3 linked regions of the Anolis sagrei genome follow. The protein of the gene in region 3 interacts with the protein of the main gene of each other region in a pairwise test. Links are inferred from orthologs where the notes say so. Each region holds a gene or a part of one and is shown on either strand. Other genes may lie near its edges. The genes, in order: POLR2C, EIF4E2 and MYOG.

Evidence for each region.
Region 1: the proteins of MYOG (region 3) and POLR2C interact in a two-hybrid assay, tested with the Homo sapiens proteins (2 studies listed by BioGRID and IntAct). The link is inferred for Anolis sagrei from reciprocal best matches to the Homo sapiens genes MYOG and POLR2C.
Region 2: the proteins of MYOG (region 3) and EIF4E2 interact in binary tests that used the Homo sapiens proteins (3 or more experiments, as listed by UniProt). The two-hybrid records come from large-scale screens. The link is inferred for Anolis sagrei from reciprocal best matches to the Homo sapiens genes MYOG and EIF4E2.

The regions. Positions count from the first base shown.
Region 1 is NC_090028.1:6,444,254-6,448,007, reverse strand, and holds the start of POLR2C (DNA-directed RNA polymerase II subunit RPB3), read right to left. Parts: upstream 2,594-3,754; 5' UTR 2,576-2,593; coding exon 2,437-2,575; intron 1,216-2,436; coding exon of another isoform or gene 1,211-1,215; coding exon 1,166-1,210; intron 931-1,165; coding exon 862-930; intron 1-861. UniProt on the Homo sapiens protein: Core component of RNA polymerase II (Pol II), a DNA-dependent RNA polymerase which synthesizes mRNA precursors and many functional non-coding RNAs using the four ribonucleoside triphosphates as substrates.
Region 2 is NC_090023.1:265,351,161-265,354,914, forward strand, and holds the start of EIF4E2 (eukaryotic translation initiation factor 4E type 2), read left to right. Parts: upstream 1-892; 5' UTR 893-915; coding exon 916-1,001; intron 1,002-3,094; coding exon 3,095-3,209; intron 3,210-3,754. UniProt on the Homo sapiens protein: Recognizes and binds the 7-methylguanosine-containing mRNA cap during an early step in the initiation. Acts as a repressor of translation initiation.
Region 3 is NC_090024.1:206,029,564-206,033,317, reverse strand, and holds the start of MYOG (myogenin), read right to left. Parts: upstream 2,805-3,754; 5' UTR 2,660-2,804; coding exon 2,102-2,659; intron 285-2,101; coding exon 203-284; intron 1-202. UniProt on the Homo sapiens protein: Acts as a transcriptional activator that promotes transcription of muscle-specific target genes and plays a role in muscle differentiation, cell cycle exit and muscle atrophy.

The sequences.
Region 1 (3,754 bases), on a different chromosome or scaffold from region 3:
GTAGCAGCCAATAGTGGAAGGACCAAGGCAGAGACATCTCCAGCTCATCCCCTGCTTGGGTATCAGCCAGCACGTCAACGACTTAAATCTAGAAATAGTTTTCTAAGATCTACAGAGACACTCGCTGGAACACCTCAGCAAGCAAGAGTCCAAAAGTGGTAGGCTCAAACCCAGCACCTCAACCAATGGCTGATACCAAAGGAGAGACTCCCCCCTGGGCACACAGAAGACTGGGCGACTTGGAAGGCATTGAACAGACTGCGCTCTGGCACCACGAGATGCAGAGCCAACCTTGAGAAATGGGGCTACAAAGTGGAATCCTCAACATGCGAGTGTGGAGAGGAGCAAACCACTGACCACCTGCTGCAATGCAACCTGAGCCCTGCCACATGCACCAGGGAGGACCTCCTTGTAGCAACACCTGAGGCACTCCAAGTGGCCAGATACCCATCAAAGGACATTTAACCAACTACCAAACTCACAAGTTTTGTATTTGTCTGTTTGTTTGCTTTGTTCTGTTAGAAATGTAATATAATGGACTGGTTGCTCTGACACGACAAATAAATAAACAGGATCCAGAATTCCCAAAGGGCATATAACATAAGAAAAATATAGCAGGAGAGGAAAAACTTGGGGATATTACTAAAAATGTAATTAATAATGTTGAATGCTAGTACAATCTGAAAAATTAAATGTGTTGGGCATTACACTATTTTATGAAAAATCCAGAGTTAGAAAGAGGCTCGGCATCAAAGCATTGGAATGTATTTTATGTGAATTACGCACATAATAAAATATTGTTTTAAAAACAAAACTAGAGAAGCCTGTGTTTTCCTATCGTGTCCTATGCCGGTTACTCACCCAACCTATGTGCAATGAACTCATCATGGAGGACCGAGGAGTTGGCATCTATCTGTACCCAGTCTATGGCTGCAAACAAAATAGTACAAAATGAGATAATAGCAATTTGATTAATCATGCTCAAAGTCTTCAATTCGTAGTATTGGACTTTAACATACTGTTTATGTATACATATAAGAATTTGAGTCCCAACATTGAATGTTTGCCGTATATATGCTGAGTCCACTTCGGGATGAGAAGGGTGGAATATAAATGTTTAAAATAAAATAAATTAATAGATAAACAATAAAGAATAGATAAATACCGATGGTGGGAACTTCAGCAATGAACACTCTCCTGATGGAATTAGCTACTCTGGAAAAGAAAAACAGAGAAATATTCATTGTTATTATTATTAGCAGTATTATATGTATTTATATCCTCCAACACAGAACCCCCATGACCACCAGAGTGGGCCACAGCAACGTGTGGCAGGGGCGGCCTGGACGAATTGACACGAATTTTTGACACAATACACCTAACAGTCCAACGAGTGTTCATCACCACTAAAAATACAGCCCCCCCTAGCAGAACAGACTTAAAAACCCCAAAATGCACCATACACACACACTCATATACTCATAAACTCATAAACACACATATAAAAATATACCCAAGCACACACAACTATAAACACACATACATCTGCATACACACACATATATACATGCACAAATATACACATGCACACATACACACACATATAGAAACAAATATGCATATAGACAAGCACACACATATACACACACATATACACAACGGTGGCGCAGTGGGTTAAAGCACTGAGCTGCTGAGCTTGTTGATCGAAAGGTCGCAGTTTCGATTCCGGGGAGCGGCATGAGCTTCCGCTGTCAGCCCTAGATTCTGCCAACTTAGCAGTTCGAAAACATGCAAATGTGAGTAGATCAATAGGTACCGCTCCGACGGGAAGGTAACGGCGCTCCATGCAGTCATGCCGGCCACATGACCTTGGAGGTGTCTACGGACAATGCCGGCTCTTCGGCTTAGAAATGGAGATGAGCACCACACCCCAGAGTCAGACATGACTGGACTTAATGTCAGGGGATGGCATCCTTGAAGTGACTGGACTGACCTTGAGGGAGCTGGGGGTGGTAACGGCCGACAGGGAGCTCCGGCGTAGGCTGGTCCATGAGGTCACGAAGAGTCGGAGACGACTGAACGAATGAACAACAACAACAATGTCAGGGGACTACCTTTACCTTACACATAGGCACACACACACACATATGCAACACATATATACACACATATATACACACAAATACATATATATACAGGAGGGCCACAGCAACGCGTGGCAGGAGACAGCTATAAATAAATAAATCTGTTAGTCTTAAAAATTTTGTCTAAACATTTTGTAGGGGATAATAATAATAATAATATGGGACTATTTCCCAAGCCCAGGAGGTGGCCTGAGACGCCTCCGTGCCTGAGTGGGGCAGCAGAAGCACTCTAGGCCCCGGCTTCCCTCTCCAGACTAGGCCCTGCCCCTCCTCCACACAAGCCCCCGCTCACGCCAAGTCCGTGTTCTCCACGATGAACTTGACGTTCTCGTCGCTGAGCTCCGTGATGCGGACGGTGGGCTGGTTGGCGTAAGGCATGGCTGGCGGGAGACCCAAACAAGGCCGCAAGAGCCTGAAACACCACGGCGCATGCGCAGCAGGAACGAGGCCGGGATTGGCGCGGACGCCGAGAGCCGCGGGGGCTGCTGGGAGACGCCGGCCGCGCTCTCCGCCAATCGGGGAGCAGAGCGGCGCCGACGTCATTTCCAGGCGGCGGTCGGCGGCGAAACAGGGAGGAAGCAAGCAAGGTAGGCCCTCGCTGACTGGAAGGCGGTTCTTCTCCCATTCCAGGCTCCCTTCTCTCTCTCTCTTCCTCTCGAGAGCCTTGTCACACTGCTTTACTATAGCCCGGCTATAATATTATACCTTGGCAACGTTTTGAGGGGTTTTGTGGTGTGGCGAGGCCTTGGAATGCCTGAGAGGCCCCTATTGCCGGCCTCATTGCCCTCTCGCATGTTGCCATGGCAGCCAAAGCGGGATAACAGTGCTTATAGGTATTGTCGAAGGCTTTCATGGCTGGAATCACTAGGTTCTTGTGGTTTTTTTCGGGCTATAGAGCCATGTTCTAGAGGCATTTTCTCCTGACGTTTCGCCTGCATCTATGGCAAGCCTCCTCAGAGGTAGTGAAGTCTGTTGGAATTAGGACAATGGGTTTATATATCTGTGGAATGGCTTGGGTGGGGCAAAGAGCTCTTTTCTGCTGGAGCTAGGTGTGAATGTTTCAAATGACCACCTTCATTAGCATTTGAAGGCCTGGCTGAGCCTGGGAAAATCTTTTGTTGACAGGTGTTAAGATGTGCCTGGTTGTTTCCTCTCTGCTGTTTTGCTGTTGTAATTTTAGAGTTTTTTAATACTGGTAGCCAGATTTTGTTCATTTTCATCGTCTCTTCCTTTCTGTTGAAATTGTCCACATGCTTGTGGATTTCAATGGCTTCTCTGTGTAAAACTCTAAAATTACAACAGCAAAACAGCAGAGAGGAAACAACCAGGCACATCTTAACACCTCTCAACAGGGGATTTTCCCAGGCTCAGGTTGCATTGCAGCAGGTGTTCAGTGGTTTGCTTCTCTCCACACTCGCATGTCGTGGATTCCACTTTGTAGCCCCATTTCTGAAGGTTGGCTCTGCATCTCGTGGTGCCAGAGCTCAGTCTGTTCAGCACCTTCCAAGTCGCCCAGTCTTCTGTGTGCCCAGGGGGAAGTCTCTCATCTGGTATCAGCCATTGGTTGAGGTTCTGGGTTTGGGACTGCCATTTTTGGACTCTCGCTTGCT
Region 2 (3,754 bases), on a different chromosome or scaffold from region 3:
TAGCCAGACACATTTAGGTTTCTTATTAGATGTTCCTGGTGTGCCATCACAATAATAATTATTTATTTAATAATAATAATAATAATAATAATTTAGATTTATTTTTATTTTATTTATTTAGATTTATTATCTAAATTATTATTTTATAATAATAATAATATAATTATTATAATATTATATAATAATATTGTAAATTATAATTATTATTTATTTAATAATAATAATAATAATTTAGATTTATTTTTATTTTATTTATTTAGATTTATTATCTAAATTATTATTTTATAATAATAGTATACTTATTATAATATAATATTATAAACTATAATTATTATTATTTAATAATAATAATAATAATAATTTAGATTTATTTTTATTTTATTTTATTTAGATTTATTTTATTTTATAAGGAATGATGTCCTGAGTTTATAAGTTGAGATCTAGGTCAATAATCAATAATCTTATTAGTTTACAAGTTGAGATATGTTTAAACAGGGGCTCGATGGCCATCTGTCAGGGGTGATTTGAATGCAATATTCCTGCTTCTGGGCAGAATGGTTGGACTAGATGGCCCATGAGGTCTCTTCCAACTCTTTGATTCTATGATTCTATATGTTTATGAGAAATGTTGTCCTAAGTTTACAAGTCGATATATATAAGAAACAATGTTCCAAAGTGAACCCGGAAATATCACATCTAGAAGTACAGAGATACCACTCTATATGTTCTATCTCTGCCTGTCGGGGAGCGGTCTTTCGAGTCTTTCGAACGCGGCTAATTTTACAACCATAGACAACTCGCGGCATAAAGAGCGGCCCACAGGAAGTAGTGTGGCCTGGATTGTAGTCCCGGGTCCGGGTGGAAACAGCAACCGGAAAAAGATTGGTTCCGCCTGGGCGGAAGTGAAGGGAGCGTATGGAGGCAGAGGAGCGGAAGTCCGGGGCAAGAAGCAAAGCAGCGGCTGGCGAACGACCGAAGAGGATGAACAACAAATTCGACGCGTGAGTCCGGGCCTCAGTGGCGCTTTTAGGCCTCAAGGCAACATCCTAAATCAAAGGAAGGAGCAGACAGTTTTCAATGGCATTCCTACAGGCCTGGTCGAGTTTGGGCCTGCCCTCCAGGTGTTTGGGACTCCAACTCCCACAATTCCTAATAGCCGGTAGGCTGTTAGGAATTGTGGGAGTTGGAGTCCCAAACACCTGGAGGACCCAAGTTTGGAAATACTTGTTTGTAAATATAAATCAAAACTTGTGATTGGAATGGCTTTTGGACTATGATTTCAGGGGTTATGTGCTATATCTCAACTGCTTATTTAAATATATTTATTTGTTGCTCTTTTATGATTTAATGCACAATGTATTTTGTATGTTGTAATGTAGCACTGAATTATTGCCAATTTGGAAGCCGCTTTGAGTCCCCTTCGGGGTTGAGATAGAGCAGGGTAAAAATACAATAAATAAATAAATAAATAAATAATAACCCCAGAAGAGCGGCTTACAAGTCATAAATACATACAACATACTACATAATACATAACTACCATAGTACTATTACATCATTCATAACACTAGTACTACATAATATTACATTATTGCTGGGGGAGGGGCGCTGATGTCACAGGGGACAAGATGGCAATGTCCTCCTGGCTCCCCTTGTTTATTCTGGCCCCAGAGTGGCCGTTGGTGCTGGGCATTACAGCAGGAATTGGCCCTGGATTGATGAATATGATTATTTGACTCTCTGGCTTTGGATCTATGCACAATAGTCATGTAATATTTACATATGTTGTTATAATGTTGTTTTAAATGGTTGATTAATTGCTTTTAATTGATATTGCTGTTTGGGCATGGAATAATGCCAATTATGTAAGCTGCCCTGAGTCCCCTTTGGGGTGAGAAGGGTGGGCTATAAATGTCCTAAATAATAAATAAATAAATATCTCCTGACTTCTTCCTATGTCCACATTAGGGAATATTACAAGATGAAATTGTCTCTTTTGGGTGATTTATTAAAGTCTGATTTTGTGTGCATAGATTTCCCCCTTTGACTGTGTCTGGTTGTGCTGTATTTTTACACACATTTGAAATGTGCACATTTTTCTGTTAGCCACATCTGCAGCCATCCAATAATGAAGCACTTTCAGATCCAATCTATTTAGTTTAACATCTAGTGAAGTTGAGTGCAATGGCTTTTCCCTTACCTTACCATTTACCTTATCTACACAATGTCATACAGTAGGGATAGGTAACTAAGTACTAAAGGTTGAGCATCTCTTATCTGAGATTCCAAAATACTCCAAAATGCTCAACATGAGTGGCTGGGATAGTTACACTGCTGCTTTCTGGTGGTTCAGTTCAGTGTACACAAACTTTGTTTCATACACAAAATTATTAAAAATATTTTGTATAAAATTACCTTCAGTCTATGTGTGTAAAGTGCATATGAAACATGAATGAATTTCACATTTGGACTTCAGTCCTACCTCCAAGATTTCACATTATGCATTTGCAATGATTAAAAACCAAAAATACCCAAAATGTGGATTTCCTGGTCCCATGCATTTCAAATAATGGATCCTCAACTTGCATTAAAAACTGCACTTGAAATTGGTGTAAACACATGCATCTGTTCAGTTCATTCTGTGTGTTCCCATTTTCCACGACTCTGAAGCTGAATTTGTCCATGTTTTCCCTGCATGTAAAACCCACAAATTCTTAGGATGGTAATGCAGAAAAGTTCTTTTATCACATTGAATCAGTGGTCTGAAATTGTAATCCATGAGCTATTTTGGAATTTGGTCCCTAACTAGTTTTGCCAATTCTTAGAAATTATAGAAGCTGAAGTCCAAAACATGTGGAGGACCAAATTTTCAGAACTACCCGACTGAACAGAAAAGGACAAGTAACAGGACACTTGTTCAGCATCCAAAGTGCAATTTCTGCTTCTTTTAAAAATCTCTGCTCTGTCTCAGTAGCCTGAATCCATCAGTCTGGTCTAATAATAACCACAGTCTGTCCTTTAGATTTTGTTCTATGCTAAACATAGTTGCTCCTTCATGCTTTCAAACTGATTCCTTCCTTCCTTTCTTTGCTAGTTTGAAGGATGATGACAGTGGAGATCATGACCAGAATGAAGAGAACAGCACACAGAAAGATGGTGAGAAGGAAAAAAACGATAGAGACAAATCCCAAAGTAGCATCAAGAGGAAGGTATGTCCTTGCCTCTTCCCTAGACTGAAGTGTCTAGTGGAGGATTGTGACAGGGGGGTTTTAACCTGTTGCTCCAGAACCAAGAGGATACCTGTGAATAAGTCATATTAAAGCCCATCAGGCCTCTATTCCATTTATCTCCTTGTGAAAGAAAACAGTGCAAACTTTTCCAGTGTGTTGATTTTGAAAGCAGAATCTGTAATGCAGGTAATACACCATTTCTACAGTTCACTAGAAGGATTGAGTTGTTGATGTGGAGATTTATTTTCTAAAGTCCAATTCCCAATACAAGGAGTTCATTCACACTACCTCAGAGGATGCTTGCCATAGATGCAGGCGAAACATCAGGAGAGAATGCCTCTAGAACAGGGGTCCTCAAACTTTGTAAATAGAGAACTAGGTCATAGTCCCTCAAACTGTTGGAGGGCCGGATTATAGTTTGAAAAAAAATATGAATGAATTCCTATGCACACTGCACATATCTTATTTGTAGTGCAAAAGACACTTAAAAAGAATACAATAATTAAAATGAAGATTTTTTTAAA
Region 3 (3,754 bases):
ACACTGCTCTATATCCCAGGATCTGATCCCAGATTATCTGCTTTGAACTGGATTATATGAGTCTAGTTAATATAGGATAAACAGATAATTTGGGATCAGATCCTGGGATATAGAGCAGTGTAGATCCTACCAGAATGGTCCTTACCTCTAAAGAGCAAAAAGGGTTAGACCTTTGTGTTCCCAGAAGACAATATGGTCTTACCTCCTGGATGAGTGTTGAACTCCAACTGGGTGCTCCATTCTGGACTGCATGAAGTGCTGCTGGGTCCATGGTCACTACCCACCTTGAATGAGAAAATGGGAGATCTTTAGTACTGGTTTCACACTTTGACTGCATTAGATTTGGGGAAAGGTGATTCTGTTTAGACCAGAACTCTCAGCATTCCTCAACCAGCATGATCATTGCAATCTCGGCTTCACCAATTAAAGGGTCTTTCACCTTCAATGAATCGAAAACAGCAACAACAACACAGAGACAAACAATTTCTGATATGGCTGTGGTTTGCTGCTGTCTTCTGAGTCTATAAAGTGCTGCAAATGTACATTACAGGGATCTCCTGTGAAATTGAATCCAATGCCAACAGCCTAGGTGAACATGTAGTAGACAGATTGAGAAGCAGACAAAGAACAGAGAATACAGCCTGCAGCTGTTCATAACTTTCCTCTGTTCTCAAACCAGGCTGGATGAACATTCCCAAGCTTGTTTTGGGCAGTATATGAACATTCAGCCTACAAAATGTGAGGACTTATTTCAGAATAAGATATTTGGAAAGAAAATGGGAAAGCCATACTATTCTTTGAAACTAAACACAACCCAAATCAAATTTATCCTACTGATAGGAGGTGAGAGGTTTTCTACCTGCTCCAAGAGTCTCGGAGGGCAAGTTTACAACATGAGATAGCAATGGCTAGTCAAAATGTCTACTGCCACTAGAGCCCTTTCACAATACATACTGTTCCACAATGGTCTTACTCATTTTGTTCAGCAATTATAAGAGAGTAGTAATCCGAAAGGATGCTTTGAAAGGAGGAGCTGTAAACATATTGGAGAGCCTTATAGGAGAAGCCCAGAATTCAATCTTGTAGTATTTTGTCCCTTAGGACTGAAGGCTTGTACCCAAATGCTCTTGTAAATCTTTAAATGGAGATACCCAGTAACCCATTTGAACTCAACAGGTGTCCAGCGTCCAAGTCCTTCCTCATTGGCATGTGTATTAGAATTCATTTCCTGAGGTACCATCTGTTGGAATAAAATCCCATCCACTAGTCACTTGGGTTATAGGGGTGATGCCAGTTTGTCCTGTGACTCATGCCCACCTTTGATAAACTGCAGTATAGATAAGGAAGGATACATCTATTCCAAAATTCTTCATTATGCAATACCCTTATTAGGCAGGTTAATACTATCACAATTCCACTATATTATGCACAACTAATTTAAAAGGAACAGACCAAGACAGTCACTGCTGCATTTATAGAGAAAAACAATATAGTAATATTCATATATTTCTGGAAGTATACCCTCTACCTGTGTCAGCTGTGAATATGAAAGCTATAAAGGACATGAAAACTGAAATGTATAGTTTTAAATGGTGGAATATTTGTGTAGAAAGAAAATAATTCTCCAGCCATATCAAATTCTGAAAATGTTCAATTCCCTTTCAGTCGCCTTAAGCCACATACATTACCAGAATACACTGGGAGACATGGTTCTTCCCAGCCCACCCACCATGGAGTACCCTATACATTACAGATTTTGAACTATAATGCTCATAATTTCTAAACCATTGATCATGTTGCCTGGGACTGATGGGGATGTTAGTCAAATATATCTGGAGACCATAGTGCACTTCTGCTATCCTTTTACAGTGTAGTAACATCTACAGAAAACTACGAATACCTTTATATGACTTTGCTTATATATGACTGTTGGAGAATAGGCAGAGTGGCAGCCAATAATAGAAGCTAGAGAGTTTGGACTTGGGAATATATTGTTGAAGGCGGTCAAGCTACTGATTCTCTAGGAAAGGCTGATGCAGTAGCTGTTTGCTGCGCTCTTGGATGACTGTGTGATGACCTGTCCCCTTCCCCTGGCACTTACCACTGGCTGGTTGTTGTTGTTACAGTAGTGTAGTTCCCGCTGGTCCCGCTCCTGTTGGTTGAGGGTACTGAGCAGAGCTTGTAAGCGTTCAATGTATTGGATGGCACTGCGCAGAATCTCCACCTTGGGAAGCCGCTGATTTGGGTTGAGTAAAGTGCTCCGTTTCAGAGCTTCAAAGGCCTCGTTGACTTTTTTCAGCCGGCGCTTTTCCCTCAGGGTGGCAGCACGGCGCCGGTCGATGGAGACACTTTTCCTCTTGCATACTTTGCATGCCCAAGGCAGGCACTGTCCAGGGCTGTGGTCTGGCAGGACTGAGGAGGTCTTCTCCTCAACCCCAACCCTGCCATCAGAGCACAGGCTCACAGCTGCTCTGTCTTGGTAGGCTGTCTGTTCATAGCCATGTAAGCGAGGGCTCAGGTAGTTCTCCCCATCATAAAACCGTTGGTCTGTGAAAAAGTATGGGTTGGTCTCTAGCAGTTCCATGGTGAGCGTCTGGCAAGGCAGAGCGTGTGTTGGGGAGTGAAACGCAGGCCTCTCACACCAACTGCTTGGTGGCATTTAAACCCTGTGCGGGCATTAAATCACAGAGATAAATATAGCAAACCTCCAGGAAACCTGAGCTTGCCCTAAGCTGCTGCTTCGCATCAAAACTTGTCCATCTGATTTCATGTACTCTCCCTGTGGGGATTAGTCTGCTGCTTGGGGCAGTGCTGTGGCTAAAGTGGGGTGGGCGGAGGGGGGAGTGGATGGAGGATCTGGCATGTGCTCCAGAGAAGTCCAGCCGCCTCTCAAACAACAGCCCCATTGGATTATTTTCACTTGCTCTCCTACAATGATATTGATGATCAGTCAGCTCCCTTAGCTGGCAGCTCTGTGCAGCATTCCTGACTCATCTGCTCCTTTCAATTACTGCTCCCTGCCAGCTTCGAAGCCATCCATCCCTTTCTGGAAAGGAGCAAGGCACAGGCATAGACACAAAGGCAGGTCCATTTGTTCTCCTCAAGCAAGGAAGAATCACTCCACTTTCCAAGACCTCATGCTCTACTTTGGCCTAGGTGGCGTGCTTAAATTTAACACCCCTTCTTTGTGGACTCTTAAGAAATTCAGTGCCTCGAACATTTTGTAAAAAGCAGAAAGTCAACAGGTGAAACTTTCCTGATGTTACAGCTCAGTAATGGAATAGTTTCACCTTTTGATTATTGCCATCCATGAGGCTGTTAAAAGTACTTTCAGTCCATAAAAAGTAGGACTCTTAGGCAAAACGAATTCTACTTCCAATCATTTCTAGCTAGATTACTGTAATGTGCTCTAGACTAGTGTATTATTAAAAAATGCCAGCAAGCCACCCTACAGCTATACCAGCATTCTTGCAAGGGTTAGATGACACAACCATGTGGTTTTTTTTTATTCAATACCATTAGTTGCCAGATAAATTCAGGGCTCAATCCAAGATGCTGATTTCATTTTTATAGCACGGAATGGTCTGAAACCAAATCATCTCCAGGACAGTCTGTTCTCATATAAGTGCCCTAGAAGCATTCATCTACATTAGCCTTTCTCAGCTCAGTGTCCTCCAGATGTGTTGGTTATGTTGAAAAAGGGAGAGATACAGATGTAGCAAAGAAAAAAAATCTATAGGGAGGAAAAAAGGGA